Linked DNA regions of Callithrix jacchus. The protein of the gene in region 3 purifies or fractionates together with the protein of the main gene of each other region. This does not show direct contact. Links are inferred from orthologs where the notes say so. Each region holds a gene or a part of one and is shown on either strand. Other genes may lie near its edges.

What was found.
Region 1: the proteins of EIF3B (region 3) and RPS6KB1 purify together in Homo sapiens (affinity purification with western blotting; 3 studies listed by BioGRID and IntAct, with this or other methods). This does not show direct contact. The link is inferred for Callithrix jacchus from reciprocal best matches to the Homo sapiens genes EIF3B and RPS6KB1.
Region 2: the proteins of EIF3B (region 3) and EIF5 fractionate together in Homo sapiens (co-fractionation; 3 studies listed by BioGRID and IntAct, with this or other methods). This does not show direct contact. The link is inferred for Callithrix jacchus from reciprocal best matches to the Homo sapiens genes EIF3B and EIF5.
Region 4: the proteins of EIF3B (region 3) and EIF4A1 purify together in Homo sapiens (affinity purification with mass spectrometry; 4 studies listed by BioGRID and IntAct, counting the BioPlex papers as one, with this or other methods). This does not show direct contact. The link is inferred for Callithrix jacchus from reciprocal best matches to the Homo sapiens genes EIF3B and EIF4A1.
Region 5: the proteins of EIF3B (region 3) and EIF3L purify together in Homo sapiens (affinity purification with mass spectrometry; 8 studies listed by BioGRID and IntAct, counting the BioPlex papers as one, with this or other methods). This does not show direct contact. The link is inferred for Callithrix jacchus from reciprocal best matches to the Homo sapiens genes EIF3B and EIF3L.
Region 6: the proteins of EIF3B (region 3) and EIF4E purify together in Homo sapiens (affinity purification with western blotting; 5 studies listed by BioGRID and IntAct, with this or other methods). This does not show direct contact. The link is inferred for Callithrix jacchus from reciprocal best matches to the Homo sapiens genes EIF3B and EIF4E.
Region 7: the proteins of EIF3B (region 3) and EIF4G3 purify together in Homo sapiens (affinity purification with mass spectrometry; 3 studies listed by BioGRID and IntAct, with this or other methods). This does not show direct contact. The link is inferred for Callithrix jacchus from reciprocal best matches to the Homo sapiens genes EIF3B and EIF4G3.

Annotation. Positions count from the first base shown.
Region 1 is NC_133506.1:94,475,637-94,479,853, reverse strand, and holds the start of RPS6KB1 (ribosomal protein S6 kinase beta-1), read right to left. Parts: upstream 2,801-4,217; 5' UTR 2,733-2,800; coding exon 2,592-2,732; intron 1-2,591. UniProt on the Homo sapiens protein: Serine/threonine-protein kinase that acts downstream of mTOR signaling in response to growth factors and nutrients to promote cell proliferation, cell growth and cell cycle progression.
Region 2 is NC_133509.1:138,161,875-138,166,096, reverse strand, and holds the start of EIF5 (eukaryotic translation initiation factor 5), read right to left. Parts: upstream 2,801-4,222; 5' UTR 2,731-2,800; intron 2,592-2,730; exon of another isoform or gene 2,383-2,591; intron 2,141-2,382; exon of another isoform or gene 1,569-2,140; intron 1,461-1,568; 5' UTR 1,250-1,460; coding exon 1,178-1,249; intron 1,072-1,177; coding exon 990-1,071; intron 460-989; coding exon 287-459; intron 18-286; coding exon 1-17.
Region 3 is NC_133503.1:56,683,861-56,687,360, forward strand, and holds part of EIF3B (eukaryotic translation initiation factor 3 subunit B), read right to left. Parts: intron 1,983-3,500; coding exon 1,790-1,982; intron 425-1,789; coding exon 305-424; intron 1-304.
Region 4 is NC_133506.1:74,068,842-74,070,998, forward strand, and holds part of EIF4A1 (eukaryotic initiation factor 4A-I), read left to right. Parts: intron 1-804; coding exon 805-973; intron 974-1,090; exon of another isoform or gene 1,091-1,231; intron 1,232-1,296; exon of another isoform or gene 1,297-1,326; coding exon 1,327-1,436; exon of another isoform or gene 1,437-1,460; intron 1,461-2,157. UniProt on the Homo sapiens protein: ATP-dependent RNA helicase which is a subunit of the eIF4F complex involved in cap recognition and is required for mRNA binding to ribosome.
Region 5 is NC_133502.1:208,882,722-208,886,221, forward strand, and holds part of EIF3L (eukaryotic translation initiation factor 3 subunit L), read left to right. Parts: intron 1-329; coding exon 330-500; intron 501-1,406; coding exon 1,407-1,904; exon of another isoform or gene 1,905-2,393; intron 2,394-2,760; exon of another isoform or gene 2,761-2,860; intron 2,861-3,500. UniProt on the Homo sapiens protein: Component of the eukaryotic translation initiation factor 3 (eIF-3) complex, which is required for several steps in the initiation of protein synthesis.
Region 6 is NC_133504.1:98,561,434-98,565,726, reverse strand, and holds the start of EIF4E (eukaryotic translation initiation factor 4E), read right to left. Parts: upstream 2,801-4,293; 5' UTR 2,676-2,800; coding exon 2,373-2,675; intron 965-2,372; exon of another isoform or gene 949-964; coding exon of another isoform or gene 946-948; intron 620-945; coding exon 513-619; intron 1-512. UniProt on the Homo sapiens protein: Acts in the cytoplasm to initiate and regulate protein synthesis and is required in the nucleus for export of a subset of mRNAs from the nucleus to the cytoplasm which promotes processes such as RNA capping, processing and splicing.
Region 7 is NC_133508.1:58,037,375-58,041,342, reverse strand, and holds the start of EIF4G3 (eukaryotic translation initiation factor 4 gamma 3), read left to right. Parts: upstream 1-1,168; 5' UTR 1,169-1,190; coding exon 1,191-1,396; intron 1,397-3,968. UniProt on the Homo sapiens protein: Component of the protein complex eIF4F, which is involved in the recognition of the mRNA cap, ATP-dependent unwinding of 5'-terminal secondary structure and recruitment of mRNA to the ribosome. Functional homolog of EIF4G1.

The DNA.
Region 1 (4,217 bases), on a different chromosome or scaffold from region 3:
AAGCCATATTTCTTTTTTTTTCCTATTTCTACCAATTTTGCTGAACTCCTTACACCCTCTCAAAATCCTACTTGCTTGTACCCAGCAGGACAAAAGCCCTGGAACACCTACTGTTCTTGAAACACAACAAGAAAGTGAAAAGAAAAAGTCCCAATTCATACAGGAATTTTAATACAGTATTGTACTTTCAAAAAAGAATACATCTGGCCAGGCTCATGGCTCATACCTGTAATCCCAGCACTTTGGGAGTCCAAGGTGGGTGGATCACCTGAGGTCAGGAGTTCGAGACCAGCCTGTCCAATATGGTGAAACCCCATCTCTACTAATAATACAAAAATCAGCCGGGCGTGGTAGCACACGCCTGTAGTCCCAGCTACTCGGGAGACTGAAGCAGAAGAATCACTTGAACCCAGAAGGCAGAGGTTGCAGTGAGCCAAGACTGTGCCACTGCACTCCAGCCTGGGTGACAGAACGAGACTCTGCCTCAAAAAAAATAAAAGCACCTTCCTATCCAGTTTTCTTCCCTGCCCTGCTCCAAACCCACTGCCACAGAGAACCAATATAACTGATCAGAGTATGGAATATAATATATGTAACAAAAGTAATCTCATATTTGTTTCCAATTGTATTTAGTGTATCATTGTGTTCAATTAAGAAACTATTTGGAATTCCTTATGAAAACATCATTGAAAATGCACACACCAGCTGGGCATGCAGGTGGCTCACTCCTGTAATCCCAGCACTTTGGGAGGCCAAGGGGGTAGATCACAGGAGCTCAAGAGTTCAAGACCACCCTGGGCAACATGGTAAAACCCCATCTCTACTAAAATTAAAAAAATTAGCCAGCTGTAGTGGCGTGTGCCTGTCCCAACTACTTGGGAGGCTGAGGCACGAGAATCGCTTCAGCCCGGGAGGCGGAAGTTGTGTGAGCCGAGATCGGGCCACTGCACTCCAGCTTGGGCTACAGAGTGGGACTCCACCACAAAAAAAAAAAAAAAAAAAAGGTGTGGTGGGGTGGCTCACCCCTGTAATCCCAGCACTTTGGGAGACTGAGGTGGGTGGATCACCTGATGTCAGGAGTTCAATACCAGCCTGGGCAACACGGTGAAACCCCATCTCTACTACAATACAAAAAAATTAGCAAGGCAATGTGGCCCACCCCTGTAATTCCAGCTCCTCTGGGAGGCTGAGGCAGGAGAATTGCTTGAACCCGGGAGGTGGAGCCTACAGTGAGCCAAGATCGTACCACTGCAGTCCAGCCTGGGCTATCAGAGGGAGACTCTCTCAAAAAAAAAGAGAGAAAGAAAGAAAAGAACAGTATTATTTTAGGCCACTTAGTTTCTTAATCTGTTCAAGGTTCTTTATACATACCATCTCAATCTTTTGTCAACAGTAGGGCAGGTGTCAGAGGAGAAAAACTGAGGGTGAGGCAAGGGAAAGGAAGCCCCTATGTAGTTAGAGTAAACATCTAACACCAGTCATTAACCCATGTATTCAACTTGACATTGGAATTTAGATCCTAAACTACTAAGAGGTTATCAACTGACGATCATTTGGTCTGGAATCAGTAGTTTAGTATGACAACGTTTTTGAACTTCAGGTCCAGTTTGTCAGTTTTTGATAAATTTATCTCAGGAAAAAAAGATATTCCATAAAGAATAACAAACCACTAAGCCAGCCAAGGTAAAACCAAGCTATGCATTAGAAAATATAATTCTAAATTTAGCACACTAAATTATAGCAAGGAAAGCCCTCACGCCACCATTCACAAATCTTTGTTCAGGCAACTTATTTTTGGCAAGCTAAATCAGGGCTGTCAACACTGGGTTTTTTTTTTTCCCCCTACCCGAAAATTATATTAATTATTCTGGGGGAAAAAAAAGACATCTTCAACTTGGGGAAAGGTTACAAGTGCCGTGTGTCCTATAAATGCTTACTTTAAAAAGTCACACGGAAGGGGGTTAAAAAAAAAAAAAAGCAAACAAACAAACCCTGGAAGATTGGAAGATGCAGCAGAGCCCCCTTGCTCCCGAAATAAAACTCCTGGTGGCTGTAACAGCAGCGGCAGTGCTACTCCCGACAGAAGTTTTCAGCTGTCACTTCTAACAGCTGAGCGCTTCCTAGGAGAGAAGCGACAGGCCGAGAAGAGAGGTGGTTGTGGGAGGTCTGAAGATTTAATACCTGAAATCCTAGATTCGAAGGGAAACCCTCCACACTTCACCTGTACTTACGGGACTCCCAGCAAGCGCAGCCCTCGTATCCCCAACATACGCTCACGCCACCCGCGCCCCGCCACACTCAAGTCCAGCAGCTCGAGGTATCGAGCACGCGCCCCTTCTCTTTCCCCCTTCAGACTGCTCAGGGCTGCGCTGACCTAGAGCTAAGGGTGCGACCTGCACCTGCGATTCCTGCAAAGGCCTCACACCTAGAGCCATGTCCGTCCCACCCGCTCCTCAGTCTCGGGCCGCGCGACCTTCAGCTCTTCCAGGAGCCCCCCCGGGTCTCCACGCTCTAGGACACACCGCGCTTCCTGACCCCGCACCGCCGCCCCGGCCCTGTCACCTCGGGCCCCCGGAGACCCCGGGCCTCACCCCCTCCTCCAGCTCATCCTCAGAGCCCGCGTCCTCCGGCTGGTCCAGGTCTATGTCAAACACTCCTGCCATGTCCTCAGCTTCCCTGTCTCGGAAGTCCGGCGCTGGGTAAAAGCCGTCCCGCCTCCTTCGTCGCCTCATGGGCCCGGACCCGCCGCAGCTACCACCGCCGCTGCCGCCATCACCGGCTGCTTAGGCTCAGTGCGTCTGCGCCTAGGCCCTAGACTGGCTCCTAAAGTTCAGCGCAGGAGCATGCGTATATGGTCCCGTGAAGCCAAACTGTTGGCAATGGACATGCGCAGAACTATGGTCAGCATCCAGGTGCTGGCAGAAACATGCGCAAAACGCGAGCCGAAGCTGCTCCTGGAGATCAGAGCATGCGCATTGTCAGCTAAAGCGTTCGGTGAACAGTGAGCATGCGTACCACATCTGAAGTTCGTAAATTGAAATTGAACATGCGTAATTAATCTTTCTGAATAGGAAAAAAAAAATACACAACAAAACTCTCCTTTTATGGAACATGCGCATTGGTTCTCAATAACTTTTTCGTTTTGAAAGTGAGCATGCGCATGGTGAGTAGGTTGGTCTGAATTTGAGCAGGATAGAAGCGTCTGGTCGGCGTTTGGTGGTGAGTCGTATAGATGGGGAAATCTTGGGGCCGGTGTGGAACGGCAGACCTTTTGGCTTTGTTGTTTATTAGTTCTGTGGCCTTGGAAAAGTCAATAACCGTTCAGAGCTTCAGTTTCCTTATCTGTAAAATGAGGATAATTATATACCTACTTTACAGGTTTGACATTTTAAATACAGAATCTGTCTCTCAACCCACGGCTCATTTCCAGTAATGCATAGATCTGATGTGAAGTCTTTATCAAAAATTGTCTCTTTTCCTAGGTAAAAATAATGAGAACCTGCTCTAATATTTCTTTTTCTTTCTTTCTTTTTTAAATAGACACAGGGTCTCGCTATGTTGCCCAGGCTGGTATGGAATCCTTGGGCTCAAATGATCCTCGCACCTCGGCCTCCCAAAGTACTGGGATTACAGGCACGAGCCATTGCGCCCGGTTAATATTTCCTCTGATTTTCTTTCTCCACGCTCCATCTTTCTTGCTGTCCTACCTGAGTTAAACACAAAATCTTTCTTACAGGTCTTACTAAAGTTACCAGGCTAGACTAGTGGAGAAAATGTAAGTCATTATTTAGAAGAGAGAAAATAATGTTAACTTAATGTGCAATGTTGAGCTCACGTCTGCATTTTACATGTCTATGTGGTGTGAAGGCTGGTACTACTAATTCCTTCAATCAGCATTTGTTTTGTCTTTTTTTTCTTTTCTTTTCTTTTTTTTTTTTTTTTTGAGACAGGAAGATGTCACTCTGTCACCCAGGCTGGAATGCAGTGGCAAGATCTTGGCTCACTGCAGCCTTGACCTTCCAGCCTCAGGTGATCCTCCCAACTCAGCCTCCCGAGTACCTGGGACTGCAGGCACACACCACTACGCCCAGCTAATGTTTGTATTTTTCATACAGACAGGGTTTTGCCATGTTGCCTAGGTCAGGAACTCCCATGCTGATGTAATCCTCCCAACTCAGCCTCCCAAACTGCTGAGATTACAGGCAGGAGCCTCTTTT
Region 2 (4,222 bases), on a different chromosome or scaffold from region 3:
TTCTTTGGATTGACATGCTGCCAAAAAAAAAAAAAAGTTATCCATAAGATGCAAATATTCAATCAGAAGACATCTAAACCACAGCTTCACATATAAAATAAACTTTTTTCACACAGTGACCTACTTTAAAAAAAGAATGGAAATATCTCCAAATCTGGAGGTTTTGGGTTTGATTTACAATACATCTGCTCTGTCTTCTCAGGAAGGTGACTTAGTGATATTATAGAACTGATCACAGAAGTAAGTATATGGCTTTTGTTTTGACAACCACCACAAAAGCACTCACCAGATCTGTTTCCGGATTCTCACATTCAGGACAGAGAACAAATTTTTTAATGAATCCATCCAACATGTCTTGCAGCTTATTCGCCTCATGAGATCCATTGACAATGTAACGGTCATTCTTAACATCAAACTGGGTCTGTGCTCCCAGCTCACAACCAAAATATTTGGTGGGATCTATTTGAATGAAAGAAGAGTTTAGATCATTATACAGTCACCTAACTCAACCACCACTTTTTTTCTCCTGAGATGAAGTCTTACTCTGCCACCCAGGCTCCAGTGCAATGGTGTGGTCTCAGGACAATCTGTGCTCCCCAGGTTGAAGCAATTCAACCACCTCAGCCTCATGAGTAGCTGGGACTACAGGGGCATGCCATCACACCTGACTAATTTTAGTATTTTTAGTAGGGACGGGGTTTCACTTTGTTGGCCAGGCTGGTCTCCAACTGCTGACCTCACGGCCCACCCGCCTTGGCCTCCCAAAGTGCTGGGATTGCACTCCTGAGCCACCACTCTTTTTAAATTATTGGGTTAAAGAAACGTGTTCTCCTGGTAGTTTCGTAAACTCAGGGCAACCAATAAATCAGGGTTCCTCAGTTAACTTGTAAGCTAATCAACTAGCATACAATTAGAACAAGTTTCGCAGCTCAAAGACTTTGAAGACTCTCCATAATGTGCTCTCTTTTTACTTTCCAAGCTCTACTTACACGTTGGAGGCCGATTAAGCGCCTTGGCAACGTCAACCATGTTGACTATAACTGTCTTGATTCCATTTCCTTTGCCCTCAACCTAAAGGAAATAAAAAATTTTAATTCTGCAGTTTCCCCTGACAGATGGAATCTTCAAAATTCTGCAAAAAGAGCTATCAACGAAAATGAGGAGCAGCATACACTACCTTGGCAATCAGACGGGGCATCTTGTAGCGATAGAACTGGTCTGACACGCTGCGGTTGACGTTGACAGACATTTTGGCTTATTATTAGTGGCTTTATCAATAAGATGAAGAGATCTTTGATTGCAACTTTTTGGTATCTTCTGTCTGGAGAAGAAGGGATGACATAAACGACTGCAAGAGTTCTCGGTCTCTGACATGAAAAAATTTTCGCCACTGAGGCTGTAAGCTTCTTGCTTGTATGCTATGTTTCCCCAATACAGGTACCAATGGCTGCGCAACAGCTCTGAAAGAGAAGAGACAGAAAACACAACCCCACGCCCGGGTTAGCATCACCGCCTCCTTTCACACTCCGGCTAGTTATGCTTCCGCTTAATTCTACCTGAAGCGGCACCTGAGATCCCATGCAAATAGCCCCTCTCCTCTAACACAGGACACCTGCGGGAACTTCAAAGGCCCGGATTCCAACCAGGCTGCGACTCCGGCAGGGAAAGGCCCGGTAGGAAAACAGGCCGCGCCGTGTCAGCCGCCGCGGGCTCCCGTCAGACCGAGGGCCATGAGCAGGTCAAGCGCTCGCCTCTGCGGCCATCCAGTAAGTGCTAGGAACGAGCCCGAGCCCTCGCCGCCTCCACCGCGGCCTGGGTCAGCGACCCGCCCAGGCACAGCCCCGTCCGCCGTCATTTCTAAGGGGAAACTGGGAACCATCCTCCACCCCTAATGGTCGCTTCGGCCACCACGGCCCGCTTCAGAGCAGCACTTCCGGAAACGCAGCGCCCGGCCCGGCCTCCCTGTTCCGGGCGATTCCAACACTCGGTTAACCTTCGCCCCGGTCCCCATGGCTACCGCGCGACCCGGGCGTCTGGCCCCATCCCCAGCGCGTCCCCGGAGGGCGCGCAGCCGGGAAGCCACACCGGGCCCAGGGGCGCCGGGACTACGGCCGCCCCCGCCCAGAGCGCGCGATGACTCACAAATGCAGCAGCTGAGACCTGAGTCAGCCCGAGCGGCGGGCACGCGCGGCGCGCTCCCGCGAGGCCGGGGAAGGGGCGAGGCCGGCCCGGGGAGCGCGCGGGGAGGGGGAGGGGGCGGCCGGGGCCCGGGCCCGCCCGCCGCCCCCCCCAAACTGCGCCACACGCCGCGGCGGGGTCACGCGGCGGCCGCCGCCATCTTGTGCGGCCGCCATCTCCCGGCCCGCCGCGCCCGCGACTCACCGTTTTCGTCAAATAAAGACATAAACCCAACGCTGCTCGCCCGGGACTGGGATGAAGTGAGGCGCGATAGAAACCCGAGTCCGAGTCCGAGGAGGCGGAGGCGGAGCGCAGCGAGGAGCGGCCGGGCCAGGTGCCGCCGCCGAGCAGCGGGGAGGGGCTGTCCCAGCGACGTCCGCGGTCCACACCCGTCAGCGCCGGAGCCTGGCGACCTGGCGCGGAGAGACGGCGCCGTGAGCCGCGGGCGGGTCGGGGGGTGCGCCTTCCCGGCCAGCCAGCAGCCCGCGGGGTCGGGGGTGCGGGGAGAACCGGGCAGGGGGCGCGGGGCCGCCGACCCTCCACCGGACTCACCTCTGGAATGTTCTCGCTCTGACTGAACAACGCCGCCGCCGAGCTCAAGCTACCCTCGGCCCCAGCGCCCGCCCCCCGCGTGAGGCCTCACTGTCCATTGGCTGGAGGCCTGCCATAGCTCGCTCGTCATTGGTTCGCTTGCGGCGTCAATCGCGCCGTTCCGCACCCCTTCTGCTTCCTGAGGCTCCACTCGTGGCCTCGGCCCGCCTCCAGCCCCGATCCCCGCTTCCTTCCTCTCCCCTCCCGTTTCCCAGAGGCCTTAGCGGCGCAACCTTAGGTTGTCGCGAGAGCCGGAAAGGCCCTGGCTGCAGGGCCGGGCCGCGGGGGATAGTGCTTTGTCAATTTGGGCGCTGCGGGGAAGATGGCGGTTGGTTTCCCTCCACGCCGGGTCTGGGCCAGGCCGCGGCGTCGCGGCGACTCCCGGGTCCCAGGACCATCGCCCTCGAAACCGCTCTCGAGGCCGTGCTTCTGTGGCCGACACTTTGGGGGGGAGGAAACCCGACCGCGTTCTCCCAGCTGCGGGCGCTCGTCTGTTTTCCGGTCCCCCCCCCCCCCCGGGGACGCAAGTCTCTGGGCCTCGAGGACTGAGTTGTTTTTCCATCCTGAGCCCCAGGCCTGGGTTATTTATTCCCAGGGCTGTCTTCTGTGTCGGACCCGGGTGGAGTGGCCGCCGGCGGAATGAGCCCGAGCCTCGCCAGTGACCGCCCGTGGCGGTCGTGAGGCTGCCCCGCCGCCTGGGTGCCAGCCCGCACCCGGCCTCCGCGCTTAGCTTATAAGGCTCATCGCGTCGCTTCCCGTTTTCGGAAGAGGCAGCCCTTAATTGGTTTGGAATCCTGGGGCCTCCTGTAGGCGCTTGGTGGTGGGGTCTCGCCTTCTGGTGAAGGCTTACCCCCTCCCAGGCTTGAAAAGCGCTGTCCGTCCTTCCTGCTTCCCTGTACCCTCCAGTTAATGACTTGTGAATTCCTTGACAGGGAAATCGTAGCCCTGGGCAGGAGTTTTATAATGAGATTCCAATGTATTCCATTGAAAATTACTGTTTACGCGATGGTCGCGGTGGCTCACGCCTGTAATCCCAGCACTTTTGGAGGCCGAGGTGGGCGGATCACCTGAGGTCAGGAGTTCGAGATCAGCCTGGCCAACATGGTGAAACCCATTCTTTACTATAAATACAAAAAATTAGCTGGCATGGTGGCGGGCCTGTAATCCCAGCTACTTGTGAGGTTGATGCAGGAGAAGCCTTGGACCCGGGTGGCAGAGGTTGTAGTGAGCCGAGATCACACCACTGCACTTCAGCCTGGACGACAGAGGGAGAGACTGTCTCAAAAAAAAAAAAAAAAAATTTAGAAAGAGGCTCTCATATTTTCTGTTGAAACATTCTTTCTGAAACTTGGATTTGTGTGTGTGTGAAAACTTGAGACTTAAAAACGCATCCATAGTCCACCCTGAAGTTTGAAGACATAACTTGGCCGCAGTAGAGTGAGAGCCCCTCTAA
Region 3 (3,500 bases):
GAAAGGAGACTGTCGAACCCCATGCTCTGATGACTGGAAAGAGCACCAGGGGTCCAGCATGGCCCTACTGCACTTCTGCCTGCCCACCCCCAGGGCTGTGACTGGCATAATGGGGAGGGGTGCTACGGGCCAGGAGCTTGGGGCAGGGCTATGAAATGGCACTGTGGCCCTGCGGAAGCCTGACCAGAAAGGCTGTTAACAATCTGACAGGCACCAACGCCCACTGAGAAGCACCAAACCACCCAGACACGGCCGGTCGCTTGCCCATCAACGTCCACTGCCTCATGACCAAACCTGAACTTACTTGTCAAAATCCGTGAAAAGGTTAACCCGGAACGTGTGCTGCTTGTCCAGTTTATAGCCGTCAGCGTTCTTCACAGCATCCATAGCATGGGCAGGGGACGCATACTCCAGGAAAATATACCTGAGTGAAAGAGGGCCGTTCATACACACGCACACCATAAGGCTGGGCAGGTATGCACTGTCTACCCCACCCCTCTCCATGGACAAGCCCTCTGTACCAGGAGTTATCTGTGCTGTTCTTCCTGCCTTGAGCCTAAGGCAGTCACACAGAGGACAGACCCACAGCCAAGGAGCTCCCTAAATGAGAGGGAAACCTAACCAGAAGATTCAAGTCTCTAGTTTTATGATTATAAATTATAGAAAAGCTAATCAAAACATCCATGACTGTGGCAATGGTTTCATTAAGTGTAGACATCAAAATCTATTAAACTGTATACTTTAAAACTATGCAGATTTATTATGTATCGATTATCTCAATAAAGCTGTTTTTTAAAAGAACTTGTGGCCAGCGCTGTGGCTCATGTTTGGGAGGCTGAGGTGGGCAGATCACTTGAGCTCAGGAGATCCAGACCAGACTGGGCAACACGGCAAAACTCCCTCTCTACTAAAAAATACAAAAATTAGCCAGGCGTGATGGCACGTGCCTGTAAGCCCAGCTACTTGGGAGGCTAGGGCAGGAGAATTACTTGAACCTGGGAGGCAGAGATTGCAGTAAGCTGATATCACACCACTGAGCTCCAGCCTGGGCAACAGAGTGAGACTCTGTTTCAAAAATAAACAAAATCTTAAAAATAGCCTAATATTGTGTATTATAGGCAACATTACAAAGGACCTCAGAGCACTTTTCATTGTAACATGAGTAACCGAGGGTCAAGAGGCTACCCTTCAACTGACTGCCCAACATAAAAACACTGTAGCATTACCTACATTTGATAATTTTTCTAGAAACTAAAACTATTCTAGTTAGTTTTTACTTTACGTCATTTATTTGAGAGACAGAGTTTTGTTCTGTCACTCAAGCTGGAGTGCAGCTACATAATCATAGCTCACTGCAGCCTCAAACTCCTGGCCTTAGTCTTTAAGAGTGTTGGGAGTTTAGGTGTAAGCCACCATGCTGGCCTATTCTAGGTAATTTTAAAACTTTTTATTTATTTATTTATTTATTTATTTTTAAAAGACGGGGGTTTCACCATGTTGGTCAGGCTGGTCTTGAACTCCCGATCTCAGGTGATCCGCCTTCCTTGGCTTCCAAAGTGCTTGGATTACAGGCGTGAGCCACCATGCCTGGCCAATTTTAAAAACTTTAAAACCTTAACTTAAAAAAACAAACTTTATCATCTTCTCATTCACTGCTTTCGAGAGCTTCCCGCTGAGGGCAGCCTAAAAAAGAGAATGGCCCACGTGCCTGGGCGAGGCAACAGTTCAACACTCCTTCATCACGACGTGCCAGACACAGATGAGACTTCTCTCACAGGCGAACACTCACCCTTTTGTCTTCCCATCCTCTTCAGGATAAAAATCATTTGTGATTTTCCCAAACTTGGAAAAGATCTTGTGGATGACATTTTTGAGTTTCTCAAGTCGGTCAGGTCCCACCTGAGGGACATTGTCCACTACAATCACCGAATCGATTCCATCTGCTTCCTGGGGTCGATCTTTGAGTACATCTCCTAGTAATTCTGCGAAACAGAGATTTGTCAAATGACCACTTTTACCAGGAAAAACATTAACACATTAAGCACACTGAACAAATATCCAGAAAGTGACAATGAATCATCTAAATGCTGTTGCTGTGAGCAAAAGAAACCCCAACCCTAGCTTGTTTCAGAATTTAAATGTGAGAAGTAGGGAGACTGGGACTCCTCTCTCTCCCTTTGATGGAAATGTCAACAGTCAAGGTATGTCAGTTAAGTTCTGGCAATAACCAAAGACCAGAAGACAGTTAACAATAAAAAGCTTTTAACAATGCAAAATGCAAATGAAGAAGAAAATCTAAAGAATATCCAATATTAGATCTTTCAGAGATCCCTAGATTTTGAAAGGTTTCTAGCAACATCTAGGCAGAACCCTATCCCAATGTCAATGAAAACTGACTTTTACAGAAGATTTTAGCAAACAAGTAAATATTTAAATGCTCGATATATTCGCAGCACATTTGTGCTGTGAATTCAAACTACTAGAAATTATTCAAGGAGGAAAACTTCTCTTGAGTGAATTGGGATGAAAATAGTAACTCTTCTCCCACCTCCTGTTCCCAGTTATTTTCATGTTTTCAGGCAGAGAACTGGATAGCCATTCACAAGGGGATCAGGAAAAAAAACAAACAGGGAAGGCACCTGGGTGAACTTCCCGACCGGCCCACCACCAGGCACCTTCGTCCAAAACCCCTTATCCAACATTCCCTATGTTAAAAATCTCGAAGGATCAACACAGGAGATAGGGATGGAGCAAAGTGTTTTTCCTACTCACATGCCACTCAACACATTTCTGACACCAGATGTGGGTCCATATCAAGCAGTTCTCCAGGGGCTACCAGCTGGGTGTCCTCCAACTTAACCCAATTCAGACACTATCTACCAGGAATTAGCATCAGATCCCACAGGCTGAAGGTTCAGTCCCAAAGAAGGGTCCCCATTTCAGATGGCAATTGTAAGTAGTGGGCTGTCATCTCCAGTTCTGACCGAAAGCCTCCAAAGCAGGGTTCCCACTATTCCCCACTTCTTGGGTTGCTACAACAGCTTACAGAATTCAGGGAGCTAGGTTTGCCAGCTTATTATAACAGAAGTTATAGAGAACACAAAGAAGTAGATGGAAGAAAAGCGAAGGGGCTCCCTGTGCTTTCTAGGCATGCCACCCCGAAGGAGCCTCCACCTGTTCAGCTATGTGGTGCCCCCTGAACCCAGTCCTTCTGGCTTTCATTACACAGGTGTGATTACTGACATCACTGAGCACTAGTGATCAACTCGACTTTCAGCCCTCTTCCTTCTGAGGAGCAGAGGGACACCTAAAAGTCAATTAAATGTCCTGAAAGCCTGATCTGAATTTACAAGGCTTGCAATAAAAGGCTCAGCTTTTACACAAACTGTATACTCCTTTCCCACAAGCTCAAAGCATCTAGACTAGAAGAACCTGCCCACACCTAGGAAGGAAATATATGAAGTAACTACACCATGAAGACACATCGCCTTGATCACTCT
Region 4 (2,157 bases), on a different chromosome or scaffold from region 3:
AGGCTCAGGGCATTAAACGTTCTGTGGCAGATGCAGTGACTATTCTGGGTGTGAATAATGTAAAGTTACAGCAGAGCTCTTGTTCTAAGGCATTTGGGACTCAGTTTTTCTGAGTGAATATGCCTTGTAGCTTGCGTCCTATGGCAGGAGTGCAATAGAACATGGATGTGCTCAACTGTTTTATAAAACCGGTTGCTGGCTGGGCACGGTGTCTCACTCCTATAATCCAAACACTTTGGGAGGCTGAGGCAGGCAGATCACTTGAGGTCAGGAGTTAGACCAGCCTGGCCAACATAGTGAAACACCATCTCTACTAAAAAAATATAAAAATTGGCCAGGCATGGTGATGTTGGCAGGCAGTGGTTATCCCAGCTACTTGGGAGGCTGAAGCAGGAGAATCACTTGAAGCTGGGAGGCAGAGATTGCAGTGAGCCAAGGTTGTGTGCCGTTGCACTCCAAATTGCACACCAACCTGGATGACGAGCAAAACTGTTAGTCAAATTAGCTTTCAGAAAGTTAAGGGTTCTGAATGTCTAGAATAAGACACTGAATTATCTGAGCGGCTTTATTGTGACTCACTGTATACTCAGGAACCAGACTGAGTTGAAATCCTGTCTTGCCACCTATTGACAGCACGATCTTAAGGATTTTAACCTCTGCCAGTTTCTCAGCTGAATGTGAGTTTACTAATAGTGCACACCCCCCAGGGTGGTTGGTTAGGAATAAGTATGTGAAAAACATTGAATGGTGGTGCCTGGCACAGTTGGAGCTAATATATGAGCACCTGTTTTTCTCCGGGCTCAGATACAGAAGGTGGTTATGGCACTAGGAGACTACATGGGTGCCTCCTGTCACGCCTGTATTGGGGGCACCAATGTTCGTGCTGAGGTGCAGAAACTGCAGATGGAAGCTCCCCATATCATCGTGGGAACCCCTGGCCGTGTGTTCGATATGCTTAACCGGAGGTACCTGTGTAAGTAATTGAGTTCAACAGTCCCCTAGGTCACTTCCTCTCATGCATGCTTTCCGCGTCTTTCAGCTTAAGCCAAAGTCATTCCTGAGGATGCTCATTTCCCTTATGGGAAGAGTTGCTCTGTGATGAGGCCCATGCGTGTCATCTGAGTCTGGCTTTCCTGGCAGTGCAGCCCAGGCAGTGTTCTACTTGCCAGGGCTGATGTCTGGCCAGGCAGGAAAGTCCTCGGCAAAGGATCAGTCTTTGTATTCTGAGAGCAGACTACTTGGTCCCTCTGTTATCAGGAAAGTTGGGTACATATATCACACATTTACCTAATTATATGCTGTATATTGGCTTTTTTTATTCTCTAGCTCCCAAATACATCAAAATGTTTGTACTGGACGAAGCTGATGAAATGTTAAGCCGTGGATTCAAGGACCAGATCTATGACATCTTCCAAAAGCTCAACAGCAACACCCAGGTGAGGGCAGTCTTGCTTGAATAGCTGAAAAAAAAAAATAGTTAAGGACAGAGTTTGGCTCTTGTTGGCCAGGCTGGAGTGCTGTGGTAGCTCTGCCCAGCTGATTTTTTGTATTTTTAGTAGAGAGGGTTTCACCATGTTGGTCAGGCTGATCTCAGACTTCTGACTGCTCAGGTATTTGCCCGCCTTGGCCTCCTAAAGTGCTAGGCTTACAGGCATGAACCGCCACACCCAGCAGTGATTATTTTCTAGAAGAAAAATAGCAAGTGCTAGAAGAACCAAATTTTGGATTGCTATCTTGACTTTTTTTTTTTTTTTTTTTGGCACCCACTTCACTTTTTTTTTTTTTTGAGACAGAGTTTTGCTCTTTTTACCCAGGCTGGAGTGCAATGGCGCAATCTTGGCTTGCTGCAACCTCCGCCTCCTGGGTTCAGGCAATTCTGCCTCAGCCTCCCGAGTAGCTGGGATTATAGGCATGCACCACCGTGCCCAGCTAATTTTTTGTATTTTTAGTAGAGACGGGGTTTCACCATGTTGACCAGGATGGGGTCGATTTCTTGACCTCGTGATCCACCTGCCTCGGGCCTCCCAAAGTGCTGGGATTACAAGGTGGCTTGAGCCACCTCGCTCGTCCACCCACTTCAGTTTTAGGTGTGACTAGGGAAGGGAGCAGGCGTCAGAAAGGACACCTAAGAAAGGCTCTAAGGCTGGCCTTTTTCTC
Region 5 (3,500 bases), on a different chromosome or scaffold from region 3:
TTCTGTCTTAACTGTCTGTTCCTTTATAGGACTTACTTGAAAAAGCAAGGAAAAACAACAAAACTGAGAGGTATAGCATTTTAGAGCTCAAAGAGATTTTATGGATTCCTCATCCAGAACCTTCTTGTTACAGCTAAGAAAATGGATTCCTCAAAACATACAACTTAATTTGTGAATAGGAAGATCCATTCTCAAACTCTGGGACTCCAGAGCTTCCTCTGGGTAGTTCAGGGCCTCTGCGGGGAAAGCTTTTCTCTTGGTGTTTCTGCCTCTGGTTCTGTCCAGGATGAATTGGCACTCATGGATGTTTGTTCCATCTCCTTCTGCAGAGTATGTATTCCCGTGTTCCAGAGTGCCAGGTCACCACGTACTATTATGTTGGATTTGCATATTTGATGATGCGTCGCTACCAGGATGCCATCCGGGTCTTTGCCAACATCCTCCTCTATATCCAGAGGACCAAGAGCATGTTCCAGAGGACCACATATAAGTATGAGATGGTAAGGGGCACTCTGCCTGCCACTAGTGGCCTTTCTACTCGGCTGACTCCTTGGCATCTATGCCAACCATTCTTGGTAAAGACCATCCAAAATACAGTTTTAATTAAGCCAGGAGTTAAGGCTGTAGAGCACTCTATACGATTGTGCCTACCAATGGATCACCCACCTGGAGTGCAGTGGCGCAGTCACAGCTCACTTCAGCCTCAACCTCCTGGGATCAGGTGATCCTCCTACCTCGGCCCTCCAAGTAGCTGGGGCTACAGCCACATACAACCACACCAGATAATTTTTCTTTTTTTTTTTCCCAAAGTGATACATATATTTTTGAGACGAATTCTCTTTCTGTTGCTCAGGCTGGAGCACAGTGGCGTGATCTCAGCTCACTGTAACCTCCACCTCCTGGGTTCAAGTGATGATCCAGCCTCAGCCTCCTGAGTAGCTGGGACTTATATTTGTGTATGTAAACAGAAAAGATACAATAAAAGTACGGCATTATGATCTTGTAGGGTCAGCATCCTATATGTGGCCCTTGGCCCGTGGTTGACTAAAACGTTGTTGCGTGGCACGTGCACATGTAGGCATCAAGGTTGCATCAAACGTTTTGGGTAACTTGATCCTAACTGGTGTAAAAGGACTGACCTGCTAGTGATGTGTGGGGCAAACTGGAGACACTAAGAGGTACTAGTAAGGAATCCAGAAGATGGCTAAGGAGGATTTGGAGCTAGGATGGAAGTTCAGTAGATCTAGAAATAAGACTGGAAGAGATGTTGGGGAAGTTTAGTGGCTGATATGAGACAGCTGAGTAAATCAAAGATCTGTGCAGAGGCCGGTGAGGCCACATTGGCATTGGGGACCTTAAGAAGTCCGTCTCACTTGACCCATTACCACTCTCCACTTCATCCCCAGATTAACAAGCAGAATGAGCAGATGCATGCGCTGCTGGCCATTGCCCTCACCATGTACCCCATGCGTATCGATGAGAGCATTCACCTCCAACTGCGGGAGAAATACGGGGACAAGATGCTGCGCATGCAGAAAGGTGACCCACAAGTCTATGAAGAACTTTTCAGTTACTCCTGCCCCAAGTTTCTATCGCCAGTAGTGCCCAACTATGATAATGTGCACCCCAACTACCACAAAGAGCCCTTCCTGCAGCAGCTGAAGGTGTTTGCTGATGAGGTACAGCAGCAGGCCCAGCTTTCAACCATCCGCAGCTTCCTCAAGCTCTACACCACCATGCCTGTGGCCAAGCTGGCTGGCTTCCTGGATCTCACAGAGCAGGAGTTCCGGATCCAGCTGCTTGTATTCAAACACAAGATGAAGAACCTGGTATGGACCAGCGGTATCTCAGCCCTGGATGGTGAATTTCAGTCAGCCTCAGAGGTTGACTTCTACATTGATAAGGTACGCCTGTGCCCTCGGTTTGCATCTCGTGTTAGGTGTTCACTATCTTTCATTTGCTACTCTGGGCACATGAAATACATTGGGGAACAAAATCAAAGATTCCTGCCCCTGCGGTGCTGCCATTCTACTATTTAAAAAAAAAAAAAAACGCAGGAGATTGGCCAGGCGCAGTGGCTCATGCCTGTAGTAACTAGTTCTTTAGGGAAGACCAAGGCGGGAGGATCACTTGAGCCCAGGAGCTTGGGACCAGCCTGGGGCAACATAGTAAGAGTTTGTCTGTATTTACCAAAAAAAAAAAAGATAAACAGTAGATGCTACAATTAAGCAAAAACATGTAGAGAAAGTGAAGTTTAAGCTAAGACTTCAAGGAAGCGAGGGAGTTCTGTTTCTTGGGGGGGTTTTTTTGTTTTGTTTTGCAGAGTTTTGCTCTGTCGTCCAGGCTAGAGTGCTGCAGTGTGATCTCGGCTCGCTATAATCCCTACCTCCCAGGTTGAAGTGATTCTCCTGCCTCAGCCTCCTGAGTAGCTGGGATTATAAGCATCCGCCACCATGCCTGGCTTGCTATTTTTAGTAGAGATGGTATTTTGCCATGCTGGCCAGGCTAGTCTCAAACTCTTCTGACTTAAAGCCATCCAACTGGTGGGGAGAGTTCTTAATAGCTCACCAAAAGCCAGGTACAGTGGCTCACGCCTGGAATCGCAGCACTTTGGGAGGCTGAGGTGAGCCGATCATAAGGTTAAGAGATCAAGAACATCCTGGCCAACATGTTGAAACCCTGTCTCTACTAAAAATATAAAAGTTAGCTGGGTGGAATGGCACACGCCTGTAGTCCCAGCTACTGGAGAGGCTGAGGCAGGAGAATTGCTTGAACCTGGGAGGCAGAGGTTGTGGTGAGCCGAAATCGTGCCACTGCACTCTAGCCTGACAACGGAGCAAGACTCCATCTAAAAAAAAAAAAAAATAGCTCACTAAATATCTGGGGGAAGAGCCTTCCAGGCAGGGGAAGTGCCAGGCGCTTCCTGAGCGAAGTCCCTGAAGAGGAGTAAGGTCAGTAAGTTTAAGGGACAGCTGCAGTATGCCCGAGTGGCCTGAGGAAGGAGGCTGTGTAGATGAGGTTGGAGAAGGGGATGGTGCTTTGTAGACTGTTGGAGTACTTTCCAAGTGGGAAGCCATTGTCCTGGCTTTTTTCATTTCTTAATTTTTAGTTAGCAATAATCATACCTCACATAACCCTCATTTGCCATACTGCCACGGCACTAAGCTTTTTTCTTTTTTTTGTTGTTGTTTTTTTTTTTTTAAGACAAGGTCTCACTCTGGTTGCCCAGGCCTGTGGTGCAGTGTTGTGATCTCCGTTCCCTGCAGCCTCAACTTCTTGGAGGATCTAAACAAAAGATACAGAAATACAATATCAGCTTGAGCCTGGGAGTTCAAGGCTGCTCAGACCCTCTTGGGTTTAAGCGATATCCTCGTGCCTTAGCCTCCCAGCTAGCTGCAACTACAGGCACTGATGAGGGTTTTAAAAGAATGGTTTCCTTATATGAGTTTTTTAGACTTAGCCTAGAATATGTGGAGTGTGTGTGTGTGTGTGTGTGTGTG
Region 6 (4,293 bases), on a different chromosome or scaffold from region 3:
AAGCACCCGGCACCATGCCCAGCTAATTTTTGTACTTTTAGTAGAGAAGACATTTCACCATGTTAGCCAAGCTCGTCTCAAACTCCCAACCCTCAGGTGATCCACCTGCCTTGGCTTCCCAAAGTGCTGGGATTACAGGTGTGAGCCACCATATCCAGCGACCACCACTCTTAGTTTGCATATCCATCCTTCATAGGCATTCTTCTTCAACAAAAGCCCCCTATATGATGCTAGTATCCCAGGTCTTTGTCCTGAGTAAAGTTCACTTCTCCTTAAAGGAACTTACTTAATAATGTGGCTTCTATTACGTCCAATATACTGAAGAATTTCAAACTAATCTCTCACCTAGTTTGTTTTGAGCTCAAGACTCACACATAAAACTGTCTGCTAGTCATGGATCATCCAAGCGAAAAATAGAACCCTCAACCTTAGCATATCTAAAACTAGCCTCATAATCTAACTTTCCCTTACCTGTGGCCTAACTCAGAAAACCTAGGTGTCAGAAAGCTTACCTGTTCTGCAGAGGATGTTTAATATAGTGTTCTGGATTAGCGACCTCCTGATTAGATTCTGGTTTTTCCTCTTCTGTAGCCGGGGGATTAGGAGTAGGGGTGGTTTCCTAGTATAAAATATAAAACATTATTTTAAATTTCTTAACACACCTATGATAGGAATATTCTAATTAAACCTGAACTGACATGCTGATAATATTTTTTAAGAAGAAGTAATTAGAGCAGATTGCTTCATTAAACAGACCATAGACCAACCTCTAAAGAACCATTCTCTATTCTTGTATCTCTTCATTAAGAGCAAAGGGTTTCTCAAACTGGAAAATATAATAGTATCTATGGTTATCCTTCCACTTATACTTTTTTTTTAATAGCAGGAAGACTGTCACAGATTATGCAACAAAGTTAGGAAAATCTGCTATCTTTCTTAACATACCATCTCATTAAGATACTGTATATGGTATTGAAGGTGATATCAGGATGGATAGAGGATTGAAACTAAAGTTTCAAGAGTGTAATAACTTATCACTGAGCACTGTGGTGCATGCCTATAATCTCAGCTACTCAGGAGACTGAAATAGGAGGATTGCTTGAGCCCAGAAGTTTGATACCAGCCTGGGCAACACAGCAAGACCCTGTCAAAGAAACAAACAAAACTATATTATGATGACAAAATAAGCTTTGTAAAGTGATCAAGCCAATGATATGCCAGTCTTGCCTTCATGGCATACTGTTTACCCTATGGTAACCTAAAAGTTCGGCAACTTAACATTTTCAATGGACTCTAAGATGATGGACATTGGTTTGAACTTAAATCTTCTTTTAGGCTAGGCATAATTAACATTGTCATCTAGAAATATCAGTAAGAAAAGAAGAATAGTAATTTAAAATAGGTGTTCACCACATTCTTCCATGTAGCTCTTCACACTACAATAAATTGTTGTCACCAGAACAAGACATCCATAGAAAGGCATTAGGACAAAGACTGATACAAAAAAAAAGGGGCAATGCAACAAGTGTCTGGATATCAGATTTACTGAAGCAGCAAACAAAAGTTAGAGATATATGTTAACACAACAAGATATGTAGTCAAATATTTATTATCCAAAAGACCTGAGAGTAGATAGCTAAATTCTCTTAAATTTACTCATAAGCTCAAAATCCTCACTATAAACCATACTTTTGCAACACTTATTTAAACCTTTTACCTCAGCAGCACATAAATAGTGAATTACAATATGATTAATTACAAGTTTCATAGAGTCCAAAACATCATTTTAAAACTAATTTAGTTCTTTCTCTTCTTTTCTATTATTCCATTCTTTTCATTCTTGAGGAAATGATGGAATACTAACATGGTAATCAAATCTTTGGACATACAGAAACTAAAAGTAGATAATCACTCAGGAAAAACATTCAGTTCCTAAAATTTTAAAAGTGTTATTTTGAATTAGAAGTCCCATTTTAAGTAATTGATACTATAGTCTTCATATTAAGAACACATTATTTTGTACTTTTCCAACAACTTTAAAAAGCTACACATTTTTAAACAAAAAAAAGCTATACATTTTTAAATGTGTGTATGTACAAATCAATAAGTATACTAATTTAAACTCTCTAATCTTCACTTTTAATTATATAGATTGATTATGAAACAAATGCTCTATAATACCATAAGAATTTTTAATGGCCACAGCCATCTTTTCATATCATCTATTTGGGAACTAAAAAATACTTCCAGAAACAAGTTCTATTTTAAGATGTATAATCTTATTTTTAAGGTTGCTTCCTATAGACACTTAAAAAGTTTTAAGTTTACATTCAATTTAATAACAAAACTCGGCTGGGCGAGGTGGCTCACACCTGTAATCCCAGTACTTTCGGAGGTCCAATACTTTTGCTCACGCCTGTAATCCCAGTACTTTGGGAGGCTGAGGTGGGTGGATGACTTGAGGTTAGGAGATCAAGACCAGAGTGGCGAACCTGCTGAAACCCCATCTCTACTAAAAATAAAAACATTAGCCAGGCATGGTGGCAGGCAACTGTAATCCCAGCTACTCGGGAGGCTGAGGCAGGAGAATCGCTTGAACCCGGGAGGCAAAGGTTGCAGTGAGCCAAGATCAAGCCATTGCACTCCAGCCTAGGGGACAAGAGCAAGACTTCCATCTCAAAAATAAAATAAAATAAAAATACTGCAAAGTCCTACCATATTCCCCTCTCTGCTCTCTCAGGCTGGTGTTCTCTCAGTGAGAAAATTTCACTGGAAAATACATCCTAAATGACCAACCTCAGGTTCTATTGGGGAATTAAAAAAAAAAAAAAGTAAAAAAAATTAAATGACCAATATTTCTAGGTTTATAAACTACCTGAACAAAAAAGTAAACGCTAATTTAGCAGATTATGGCTAACTCAAAGTAATCGAACACATTTTTAAACTAAAATAGACAATCTTCCCTTGAAAAAGCATTGTGTAACATACTTTAGGTGAGTAGAACAGAGTGTAAGAGTGAGGCCATGGATGGTGCTGTGTTCCTCCAGATAGTAACCAGTGTGGCTGAAAGACAAAGTTTATGAAAGGGAAGAGCTAGAATGATAGGTTGGAGTGAGACTGTTAAAGGCCTCAGGTCAGGCTAAAAGTGTACCTTTCATCTTGGGGGCAATGAAAGACATTAACTAGAAGGTCAAAGAGATTAAATCCAAATGGCAAGAAAACAAAAGATCACCAATTTAAGAGCAAAGTATTAAACCTGGTTTTAGATTTGCTGAGTTCATCAGCTTCAAATAAAAATGTTTAGTATTAAAATTTAGCAAACCCAGGGCTGAATAAACTGTCATAGCAACAAAAGAAAGTTGAAAGGGAAGAAAAAAGACAAGCAAGGGTGAGAAAACCCTAACAATTAGCTGCCAAGAATGTCAGGTAGCTTTTTACTACATTCTGCAAAACTAGCACAGGTGTAATATTAATCTTATGGGACAATCCTAATTTATAGAGGCAAATATTTCCCAGGTCTAACATCATTCTGTGGTGTTTTCAATAAATCTGACTAAATTTTAGATTCTCCTCACCATGTTCAAATCTACATTGCTTAAATTCCAAAACCATGATGTGCTTTTCCACGGTTTTGAACATTCAAGATTTCTCACAGCAATTCTCAACCCAAATACACATAAAAAACACCTATTTACTCATAGGAATTTCCAAAATTTTTTTTCCAGGTTAAGACAGATCTCCCCACGCCATATTTGAAGTACGTAATCATCATTAATCCCCCTGGGCACTAATAATAGTTTGAACCAGTAACTCAAAGTACAGTCCACAGACTATCTACAGACTGCTACTGCTGGTCCACAAACTGGTCATGGTTGACAGTGAGGTTAAGTATAGAAATGCAAAGTAAACACTTAGAAAATCTGTAGCAATTTGACAATTTTATATCCGCTGAAACTAATCAAATTCAGGCTTACATTTTGTATGTATGTCTTCATGTTTATCGTTTTACAAAAGTATTATATTACAATTTTTTTAAAAAGGCCAGGCATAGTGGCTCATCCCTGTAATCCCAACACCTTGGGAGGCCAAAGCAGGAAGATCTCCTGAGCCCAGGTGGCCAAAACAGGAAAATCCCTTGACCCCAAAAGTTCAAAGGCTACAGTGAGCTATGATAGTACCACTGCACTCCAGCCTGGGCAACACAGTAAGACGCTGTCTCTAAAAAATTAAATTAAAATTAAAAAACAAACATAAACCAGTTTGTCACCAGAATATGAGATGCACTAATTCAAA
Region 7 (3,968 bases), on a different chromosome or scaffold from region 3:
ATGGCGGCTCAGATCATGTCCCCAGCCAACTTGGGAGGTGGCAAGGTTCATCCGGACGAAGGTGGCATTTAGATTTGGGCACTGTCCTTTCCCCTGCAGGGTGACCTTGGGCCAGTCACTTTTCCTCTCAGTGTCCTATGGAAATGGGTCTCCTCATTCCATTCACCTCTCAGAGCGTCTGAGGAAGAAGTGTCGACACAATGGGTGTGAAATGCGTGGTTAAGGGCAGGAGGGTAGCATTGGTTATGCGAAGTCCCGGCAGCGGGTCCCTACCCAGCAGGTTCCATTCCGGTTAAGCGGTTCCTTCCCCAGTAACCGGGGTTTCTCGCCTCACCACTGCTTTTCCGTCCCTGCAGGCAGGATCCAGCAAACAGCAGGCTCCATTACCAGGGGCCATTACCATTGTTTTTCGAGGCTGGGCGGTAGGAAAGGACTCTCGCAGGCCAGACCTCGCCTTTGGTCTCTGCCTCTGCCCCGCACCCGCGCGGTAGCAAGCCCGAGAAGCCCCGTCGCCGATCTTTGCCGAGGAAGCGAGTTAGCCACTGAGCGCTCCCGAACGGAGGCCGAAGGCGCACCCGAGTGTCTCCGAAGAACCCCGACCCCTCTCAGTCTCCGGAAAGAACCGAAGAGGCTTCCCACCATCGGCCTCCCGAGCTATTCCGAAAAAGCACGAAGTTTTCCGAGCGGCCGTCCTGCCGGACTGCTGGAGGCGGCCGCAGCGCCATGTTGGATGCTCTGCTCGTTGAGTGAAGAAAATCCGCCGGCATCGCCTGAGCCCCGCTACCGAGAAGGGTGCCGCTTCCCCCGGGGAGGGGGATAAAGATCCCCCGCTGCCGGCCCATGAGGATATTGCCGTGAAAGGTCCGGTCTCTCCGCCTCCTGCCCCCGCCGGGTCCGGCCCCCCCCCTGGGGTCGCGTTGTCACGGAGACCGGCAGCCGGTGGTGCTGGCCCGCGGGGCGGCTGCTGCTGCCGGCGGCGGCGGCGGCGGAGGCGGCGGCGGCGGCGGCGGCGGCGTCGGGCGTGTGTGACCGGCCCCGGCCCCCTCCTCCTCCTCCTCCCAGGCTCCCCCCAGCCCCCAGCTCCCGCCGCCTCCCCGGGTCTGCCCCCATCCCGCCCCCCCGCTGTCCCTGGCCCCTGCACCCCGGCGCGCCCGGTCCTGCTCTGGGGGGGTTGGTGGCTTCGCTTTGCCATGAGTTTACCGCAGAAACCGGCTCTGAAATCAGGCACAGCGACTGCAGCAGGAACCGGACCCGGCACCGGAGCGGCGGCGGCGGCGGCGGCAGCAGTGGTACCGCCTCCTCACCCGGCGGCGGCGGCAGCAGCAGCGGCGGCGGCGGCGGCGGCCCCCCCTCCTCACCCGAACATCAGGGCCCTCCAGACCCAGGCGCCCCAACAGTATCCTTTTCACCTTCCTGTCGGCCCTTCGGTTGTCGTCGTCGCAGCCCAGGGGGACCCCGCAGCCCAGGGGACCTTCCTGCGGACCGCCACAGCCCAGCCAGGAAGGGGGCTGCCGCTCAAGCCCCTCCTGCATTGGGCTTGGCCGGAGCTTTTGGGGTGCCTGGCGGCAGCACTGCAGAGGGAACCTCAGACCTTATGTAGTACTGTGAAAGCTAGCTCCACTTGTCCATGCTTCTGCAGCCCCTTCCTTTTAGAGCTGGGGGACCCTTCACCCCTCCTCCTTCCCTAAGGTACCCTCCCTCCCTTTATTGGGCAGAATTTGCTTGGTGCCTGGGACCAACCCTGCAGGGAAGGCTTTTCTCTGATTATTGTGAGGATTACACCCTCCTACTCCTCACCTCCCCTCGGCGCCCCCTACAGTGGGGCGCAGTGGGCTTTCCTAATTACTATTAGTACATAATAAACTTTATCGGTGAATTTCTTGTTTAAAACTAATCAGCTCGTTTCCGAGGTAAGTTGGATTTTCAGTGTAAGGTGAAAATGTACAGAAAGCAGCCCCTCTGGATAATTTTTTTTAGAAATGGGAGAGTTGTGATGTGGTTTGTGGTAGAACGAGATCTGAGGAAATGTGACGCTGGACGCTTCCCTGTCTTTGACCTTTTTAAAGGAAGAGGAAGTTCACTGACATTACCCATCACCCACAAAAGTGTCACTTCTTGGAAGATTTGTGTTAAGCTGAATATTTTTAATGGGCTTTAATTTACTCTTCATAGGCCTGATGTCTAGAGAGTTGTCAGGGCTTCTGGAGGAAAGTCTAGTATTGAATGTTTCTAATTTCATGTTACTTGCTCGATAGTAGAATTTTGGACAGCTTTGATTGAAAAGACTTGGTCTTTTAGTCAAAAACTAGACGGTGAGGGTAAAACGTTGAATTCATGAATTCCACGGAGATTTAGAAAGGTATTGCGTACCTGAGAATAACATTTCATAATGCATCCCCTCCTCCCTACACCCACTGTATATGTGTAAATCAATAAATAATGATTGGATGTTAGATGTGTTGTGTTTTTGTATTTGTGTCATCGTGTGTTTGACTTGTAGAGATTGTAGGGTGTGTGTTTGAGCAAGTTAGAAGCTAACTGCTGTGAGGTCCCCAGATTATTTCACAGACTGTAGTTTGATTCTTGTCTGTATAGATTACTTTGAGAAGGGAAAACAATCTCCCTTAGAGTCATTTCAGGTCATTGTTTGGTTTCTGTCAAGTGTCGTTTTCTCTGTTCTTTAAATATAGTTCACGTTTTTCAATCCAGGCACCGTGGCGCAGTGCAAAGATGAATTCCATTCCAGTGTGATGTGTGTACTGATTTAATAATGTTTTAATCCTGCATGATTCTGTTCAATTAGGAGTTGCTCACCGATGAGAAAGTGTAATGATAACTTAGTGTTGCTTATAGAAAACATGGTTAGTTTTGGTCAATGTCTCTAGCTGCTTTATGGTGAGGGGAGAAGGGGTAAGGTTGACTGGTTTGCTTACTTCAAGGCAGAGTTCAGTGATGGATCTCTTAAACCTATTTTAATAATTTGTCAGTTTAAATTACTTTCTAATTTCATTTTTTTACCTTGATTGCCTATACTCGGTTAGGACTTTTAAGTTTCTGAATTGTACCACCAAGTAAATTACTCATTACCTGCATCTTTGAGCTGTTTAGGCAATTAAACAGAAATGAAGGGAAACCTATGGTAGGTGTCCTTGATATACAAAGTAGTAAGAACTGCAGTGCTGAATGTGACACTGCTTGGTGAATTTGGTGGCTTTTTGGGACACAAAGAGTTGTGACATAAGTGTTTCAAGTATACTTTTTCTCAGTGCATTTCATAGAAGGACTTATAAAAGCTCTGAGTTGGTTGCAACATACAAGTAGTTACAAAAGCTGAAACTTAGTTTTCTTTTGAATAAAAAGCAGTTGTTAAATAGATAAATTTAAGGGTAATTTCCAGTATAGAGCATTTAAACCTATTTGTAGTAATATGGAATACTTAGTTTTATGTGGCTTTAAGTTTTTAGTTTGCCTCATGCCATTGAAGCTAAAGTTAATCTTCCTCTTGATGTGTTTCACAGCTTTTAATATTTTCTCTTTGCTTTTACACACTGAAAGGTTACAATTGCAAAAATGGAAAATTTTATATGAACAGCAAATGAAGTGTAGGTTGTAGATTTCATCGGAACATATACCAGTGGTGAAGTGTTATCAATTGGTAATGGGATATTGATTTAAAAGGATTGAAATAGAGCAGTTCTACTTTTCTACCCTGAGGGAGTATGGGAGTTTGTATTTGACGCAAGTTGTCATTGTTCAGTAAGTTGATAACATTTAAGCATCTTGGCAGGAGTGCTTAGCTGGAGTTTCACTTTTCATGGCTTGAATATATCTCCAGACACTCAAAATATATGGGTATGGTTGTGTTTGCATTGAATTAATAAGTTCAGTCAGTCACCCGCCCCCCGCCCCCCGCCCCCAGTCTCAGTCTTGTTGCCCAGGCTGGAGTGCAGTGGTGCGATCTCAGCTCA